Linked DNA regions of Macaca fascicularis. The protein of the gene in region 2 purifies or fractionates together with the protein of the main gene of each other region. This does not show direct contact. Links are inferred from orthologs where the notes say so. Each region holds a gene or a part of one and is shown on either strand. Other genes may lie near its edges.

Region 1 (4,312 bases), on a different chromosome or scaffold from region 2:
AGGCCAGTGCTTAATGAGTGTTTGCTGAATGAACGCCTCTTATGTCTGCTGCACTGGGGTCACCTGAAGGTGAGGGAAGCTCAAAGAAGACAAGACAGGCCCTTCTCACCAGGCCTGACCAGGGCTGGTCCAGAGGGAACGTGTGGCTACTCCTTAGAATTAGGCAGGAGGCCCCAAACCCTGGCAGACTCTTGGACCAACTTGCCTATGTCCTGTCTCCCCAGGTCCCTGTACCCCTACCCGACCAGCGCCGCCGCTTCCTAGCCATGAAGTGGATGATCACGGAGTGCCGGGAGAACAAGCACCGGCGGACACTGATGCCGGAGAAGCTGTCACACGAGCTGCTGGAGGCTTTCCATAACCGGGGCCCTGTGATCAAGAAGAAGCATGAAATGCACAAGATGGCAGAGGCCAACCGTGCCCTGGCCCACTACCGCTGGTGGTAGAGTCTCCAGGAGGAGCCCAGGGCCCTCTGCCGCAGCAAACAGTGTGAGCCACTGCCAGGCTGAAAGCTCCCTGTGGGTTAGGGATGTGGTTCCTTTGTAAGGGTGGGCAGGCCTCATGAGAAAGAGGGAGCAGCATGTTCACTATCCACGAATCCTTCTTTCTTTGAGGCTGGAACTTGCTCTCTCTGCCCCCATTTCCTTATAAAGAGAGAGCACATTGACTTGGGAATTTCCTCCAGGAAACTCAGGGCCGTCTTCTCTTCCCTTAGCTTGGGGTGGACCGTTGGATATAAAAGGAAGCAGTTTTAGTATTAGAAAAGATTTATTAGAAACTTCTCACGCTGAACTGGTGTAGCATGTGGTGCAGCATTCATTGAAACTGGCTGGAGGAAATAGGCTTGCTTCCAGAGTTGTCCTTGTACAAAATGTATAAAAAGCAGTTTCTGGTATGACTTGTGCTCTGCCTCCGCCCGTTGACATCCCAAAGCATCCCAATGGCTATGCTTACCCATTTTACAGATGGGTAAACTGAGGCACCAAGGTAGTAGTTGCACTAATGGTTACACAGTGCAGTGGCTCTTAGGAGTTGCTCTTCTCTGCCTGGCCCTGAGGGAAGGTGGTGGGGAAAGGGGCTCAGGGCAGGACCATGGCATAAGTGGGAAACATCTCACCAGGAGATGGGAAAGTCTAGAAGGGAAGACACTCAAAGTCTGGAAGGGAAAAGTCTTTGGGTGAGGCAGAGACTCCACTGCCAGTTTCAGAGGTGTGTAGAAGAAAGGCCAGTGCTGGCAAGGAAGCCCTGATCTGGAGGCCTAGTCGGAGACTTCGCTGTAATAATACTTGTGAGCAGCTGGCGTCGTCTTCCAGCCGGCCGCCCGGAACTCAATGATCTCCAGCAGCAACAGCTGGGCCAGGGAGCTGAGGCCAGTTGGGAGCAGGAAGCCATCCCGGATCAGCACAAAGAGCTCATCCATGCGCTGCCCATTCATTTTCTCCAGCTGCTCCCCGACCCGGTGCAGCTGTAGCACCAAACAATCCACCTGCAGGGGACGGCGGGGGGTAACACGAGTGAACTGGGGCAGGGTCAGCCTGTCACACAGCATTTGCCAAGTGCCAGGTGCTGTGCCTTGCCTTTACACTCATTCCCTTGCTCCCTCCTCACCATCCAGTGGGTACTTCTTCACCACTGAAGCAGAGCTATCACTAATGGTCTGAATTTGACTGGTTTTACAGCTCTGCAGTGTTAGTAGAGTTTTGCAGGAGCCAGCTGTGCTGTGCTGATGGTATCATTCTCTTACTCAAGCATTTTCAGTGGCTCCTAGCAGACTTCCACATCTTACACAGAAAGAAATGAGTTCCGGGACTTCCTGAGGTCCCTCGTCTGGCCAGGCTCCACTCAAGCCTGTCTCCAAACCACTCCTTCATCCCGCTCTCCTGCCTTCCTCACACTGCCTGACCCTGGTTTGGCTTTGGGGCCATCTGTACCCACAGCTAGCCATGGCTCGCACAGCTGCCATCAGAGATTGGCTTTCTGACTGAGAAGGAAGCTGCTGAGCCAGTAGGTTTTGGCTGCTGTCTGTATTGGATAAATTCCAGACCTGGCAGCTTGTCCTGTAATTCTGACAGGCCTTAAACACCCCCACACTCCTGCCCCAGAAGTGACACCGTCCTAAAAGGCCTCCATGAGCAGTGAGCTGACACTCGGCTGAGCCAGACTGTCCATCCCGCAGCCTTCTGTGCTTGTACCGGGGCTGGGGCCACCCACCTCCTCCTCCTTGCTCAAACTGTCTGGCTGGGCCAGCCGGAAGAGGCAGTCATAGACAGGGTTCACCAGAGCCATCATGGGCATGTTGTTCACCTGTGAGGGAGAGGAGGGGTCAGAGCACCAGGCTTAGTGGCCGAGGGAAACAGTCCAACCTGGGCCTCGGGTGACAGGCCATGTCGCCTCCCAGGGTGGCTGCCGGGGCCTCACCCTCAGGTAGTCAAAGATGTTGCAGATAAAGGTGACATAGCAGACCCAGCCCTGCAGGGAGCGTGCTCGCAGCTGCTCCCGAGCCTGGTACTCCTGCTGCAGCCGGTTGAGGAGTCCACGCCGGAAGACACTCTGGCCTGCTTGTTTACTCTCTGCCTGTGAGCCAGGGAGAGGAAGGTGAAGGGTGGGGGGCGGTGCCCCTGCAACCCCACCCATCCTATGCCTCTTTATGTCTTTGAGCTAGACCCTATGCATCTCTGTCCTGCAGGCCAGGCCTCTGCCCACTCCTGAAGCACTTTCCTCAAAGCAGCTTCCTTTACTCTCCCGACCCCCAACCTGAATGATGGCGTAGCACATGCGTCCTGCTTCCTTGCTGAACACACAGTCCTGCAGAGAATGGTCCACAATGACATTGGCCACTTTCTCCAAGTCCACAGCACCCGGATCTAGGGGTAGAGATATGAGGGGAGCCTAGAGCTGCTGCTTTATCACATTTGCCTCCACCTGCTTCTAAGAACTTGAGATATTTAGAGTAGAGCACTCTCATATGCTTGAAGTGAAAGAGATCAGAAATCATACAGAGGACAGTGACTCCAGTGGTGCAATCAGCGCATGGTACTTACAAGAAATGATGGCCGATGGGGGAGGGATTGCATTGGGAGTTATACCTGATGTAAATGACAAGTTGATGGGTGCTGACGAGTTGATGGGTGCAGCACACCAACATGGCACAAGTATACATATGTAACAAACCTGCACGTTATGCACATGTACCCTTGAACTTAAATTAAAAAAAAAAAAAAAGGCCGGGCACGGTGGTTCACGCCTGTAATCCCAGCACTTTGGGAGGCCGAGACGGGTGGATCACGAGGGCAGGAGATCGAGACCATCCTGGCTAACATGGTGAAACCCCGTCTCTACTAAAAAATACAAAAAACTAGCTGGGCGAGGTGGCGGGTGCCTGTAGTCCCAGCTACTCGGGAGGCTGAGGCAGGAGAATGGCGTGAACCCGGGAGGCGGAGCTTGCAGTGAGCTGAGATCCGGCCACTGCACTCCAGCCTGGGCGACAGAGCGAGACTCCGTCTCAAAAAAAAAAAAAGAAAAAAAAAAAAGAAATCATGGCCGAGCTCAATGGCTCACGCCTGTAATCCCAACACTTTGGGAGACCAAGGTGGGTGGATCACCTGGAGTCAGGAGTTTGAGACCAGCCTGGCTAACATAGTGAAACCCCATCTCTACTAAAAATACAAAAATTAGCCACGTGTGGCAGCTTGTGCATCATCTCATGTCATCCTAGCTATTTGGGAGGCTGGGGCAAGAGAATCGCTTGAACTCGGGAGGCAGAGATTGTAGTGAGCCGAGATCATGCCATTGCACTCCAGCCTGGGCGACAAAGCAAGACTCCGTCTCAAAAAAAAGAAAAAGAAAAAGAAAAAAGAAATAATACAAAGGGCCCGGTGTAGTGGCTCACGCCTGTAATCCCAGCAGTTTGGGAGGCCGAGGTGGGTGGATCACCTGAGGTCAGGAGGTCAAGACCAGCCTGGCCAACATGGTGAAACCCCGTCTCTACAAAAATACAAAAAAATTAGCTGGGCATGGTGGTGGGCACCTGTAACCCCAGCTACTTGGGAGGCTGAGGCAGGAAAATTGCTTGAACCTAGGAGGCGAAGGTTGCAGTGAGCCGAGATTGTGCCATTGCACTCCAGCCTGGGCAACAAGAGAGAAACCGTCTCAAAAAAAAAAAAAAGAGAAAAGAAACCATACAGAGGACAGTAACCATACAAACAAACAGCTTTAGCCTGTCTGTCTGCTGACTGTTGCCCAGTCAGAGAAAATGGGGAGGGGTTATGTGGCTGGTAGGAACCAATCAAAGTAAGAATGTAGTTTCTCAGGA
Region 2 (2,727 bases):
CCCACCCCTGGCTTGAGACCAGCCCAGAATCACTTGGAGGGATCTCCAGGACATGTGGCTGTGGTCATGGGCCAGTGGTCTGCAGGCAGCAGCCAGGGTCCAAGGGTGAAGACAGTGGGGGAGGGGCACCCTCAGACTGATGCTTGTCCTGCCACAGGGTCTGTCCCAGGAGACAGGGAAGGCTGCCATACCAGTGCTGATAAGCATCAGACCAAGTATGACATGACACCTACGAAAGGCAGCCCCCGGCCATGCGCGGTGGCTCAAACCTGTAATCCCAGCACTCTGGGAGGCTGACGCAGGCAGATCACCTGAGGTCGGGAGTTCCAGACCAGCCTGACCAACCTTGAGAAATCCTATCTCTACTAAAAATACAAAATCAGCTGGGCGTGGTGGCACATGCCAGTAATCCCAGCTACTTAGGAGGCTGAGGCAGGAGAACCGCTTGAACCCAGAAGGCCGAGGTTGCAGCAGGCCAAGATCGCACCATTGCACTCCAGCATGGGCAACAAGAGCAAAACTATCAAAAACTAACATTAAATAAATAAAGAAAGCCCTTTACCCAGTGCCACTCGCTTCAGACACAACAAAGGCAGACACAACTCTGACCCTCGCTCTCATGGCAGCTGGGCCACCTGGCAACACCCTCAGTCACTTAAAGAAGGTTCTTTTCTTTTTATTTTTGCAATATCCCATACAAAAGCAATAGAAACAAAACAGTCTTAAGAAGTTTACAATTGAATATTTGAACAGCAAATCTGTACACATTATCATTTACAGCAATTTTACATGGTAAATTAACTGATTGTTTTAAAATGTTCTTTCTAAATCGCTCTGCTCTGCTGCCCTAACTCTTGGAGTATTCTAAAGAATCTAACTAGTGCTATTTACAAGTACCAAATTAAGACCATATAACTTACATAAAACCCATTAGTTTAATAGCTCAATTTAACAATGTCTGACTTCAGAGTGCTGTTATGACATACTGGTAAAAGGCCAAAAACTAAGTTTCCATAAAGATATTAAAGGTGTCTGAGAATACTTTGATGCCTATAAAAGTAGCTGACTCTCAATTGGTCCCATGGATTACATGGTTAAATCCAAAACAGTCCATCTGACAAGCAGCAACTGAAGTGCCTGTGGAAAACCAGTTAAGTAGGCCTGTCAGCTTACCCTGGAGGACAACAGGGATTATGCAATTAAGCTTGCTGGAAGATTGCTTCAAGTACACTTTCTTGGATTTAGCGCCATTTACAATTTAAAACATGCAAAATACACTCACTATACATAAAATTAATGTTTCTTATTAATGTTTCTTAAGAAAGTAAGGCAAAAATAATTCATCATGAGATAATGGACTACTAACAGAGAAACCACCAGGTATAAGTGCACACACATGCTTGGTGCCTGGCCAGCCTTCCACCCAGTCGGGGAGGAGCTGTTTCTCTTCCTGGCCGCCAGGTGGCAGTTAGCTCATGGCCGAGAAGTCTCTCAAGGGTTCAGTTAAACAAGCTTCCAAATCAAACTCGTCCTCCACTTGACTGTCCATATGTCTAACCTTGGTGGGTGTGCCAGAGTACACATCCTGGAAAACAGAAGCATGGGTCAGCTGACATTCATCTCACCCTGAAAACAGGGACCACTTCCTACACCCCCACAGCTTATGTGGTAAATCATGTGACGTAATGCACAGCAAGGTGTACACTTCATGTGCAACTGAGATTTTAATAGTGACACTGCAAAGAGAAACCACATGTACTATTTACAAGACACTGAAGTTTAGATGTACACACATTTTATTTTTATTTTGTAGAGATGGAGTATATGTTGGCCAGGCTGGTCTTGAACTCCTGGGCTCAAGCAATCCTCCTGCCTTGGTTGGCCTCCCATTGTGCTGGGATTATAGGAAGGAGTCACTAGTTACTGCACCTGGCCATGTACATAGTTTATAAACACAGAAAGAATTCTAAAAGCCTAGACAACACCACAAATAGTGGCTGTCTCAGGACAGGAGACAGCATTTAAATTGATACATTTTAAAACTGTTTTCTTTTGAGACAGAGTCTGACTCTGTCACTCAGGCTGGAGGGCAGTGGTGCAATCTCGGCTCATTGCCACCTCTGCCTCCCAGGTTCAAGTGATTCTCCTGCCTCAGCCTCCTGAGTAGCTGGGATTACAGGCCTGCATGACCACACCCGGCTAGTTTTTGTATTTTTTTTTTTTTTTTTTTTTGAGACGGAGTCTGGCTCTGTCGCCCAGGCTGGAGTGCAGGGGCCGGATCTCAGTTCACTGCGAGCTCCGCCTCCCGGGTTCACGCCATTCTCCTGCCTCAGCCTCCCGAGTAGCTGGGACTACAGGCGCTCGCCACCTCGCCCGGCTAGTTTTTTGTATTTTTTAGTAGAGACGGGGTTTCACCGGGTTAGCCAGGATGGTCTCGATCTCCTGACCTTATGATCCGCCCATCTCGGCCTCCCAAAGTGCTGGGATTACAGGCTTGAGCCACCGCGCCCGGCCTAGTTTTTGTATTTTTAGTAGAGACGGGGTTTCACCATTGTTGGCCAGGTTGGTCTTGAACTCCTGACTTCAGGTGATCTGCTGGCCTCAGCCTCCCAAAGTGCTGGGATCACAGGCGTGAGCCACTGTGCCCAGCAGACGGTTTTTTTCTTTTTTTTTCTTTTGAGTCAGTCTTGCTCTGTTGCCCAGGCTGGAGTGCAGTGGTGCGATCTC

The links.
Region 1: the proteins of SLBP (region 2) and MIF4GD purify together in Homo sapiens (affinity purification with western blotting; 3 studies listed by BioGRID and IntAct, with this or other methods). This does not show direct contact. The link is inferred for Macaca fascicularis from reciprocal best matches to the Homo sapiens genes SLBP and MIF4GD.

Annotation. Positions count from the first base shown.
Region 1 is NC_088390.1:81,653,130-81,657,441, forward strand, and holds the end of MIF4GD (MIF4G domain-containing protein), read right to left. Parts: intron 2,865-4,312; coding exon 2,755-2,864; intron 2,575-2,754; coding exon 2,419-2,574; intron 2,305-2,418; coding exon 2,212-2,304; intron 1,487-2,211; coding exon 1,259-1,486; 3' UTR 750-1,258; downstream 1-749. Other genes in the region: MRPS7 (small ribosomal subunit protein uS7m), read left to right, coding at 225-446. UniProt on the Homo sapiens protein: Functions in replication-dependent translation of histone mRNAs which differ from other eukaryotic mRNAs in that they do not end with a poly-A tail but a stem-loop. May participate in circularizing those mRNAs specifically enhancing their translation.
Region 2 is NC_088379.1:1,832,906-1,835,632, forward strand, and holds the end of SLBP (histone RNA hairpin-binding protein), read right to left. Parts: intron 1,586-2,727; coding exon 1,469-1,585; 3' UTR 661-1,468; downstream 1-660. UniProt on the Homo sapiens protein: RNA-binding protein involved in the histone pre-mRNA processing.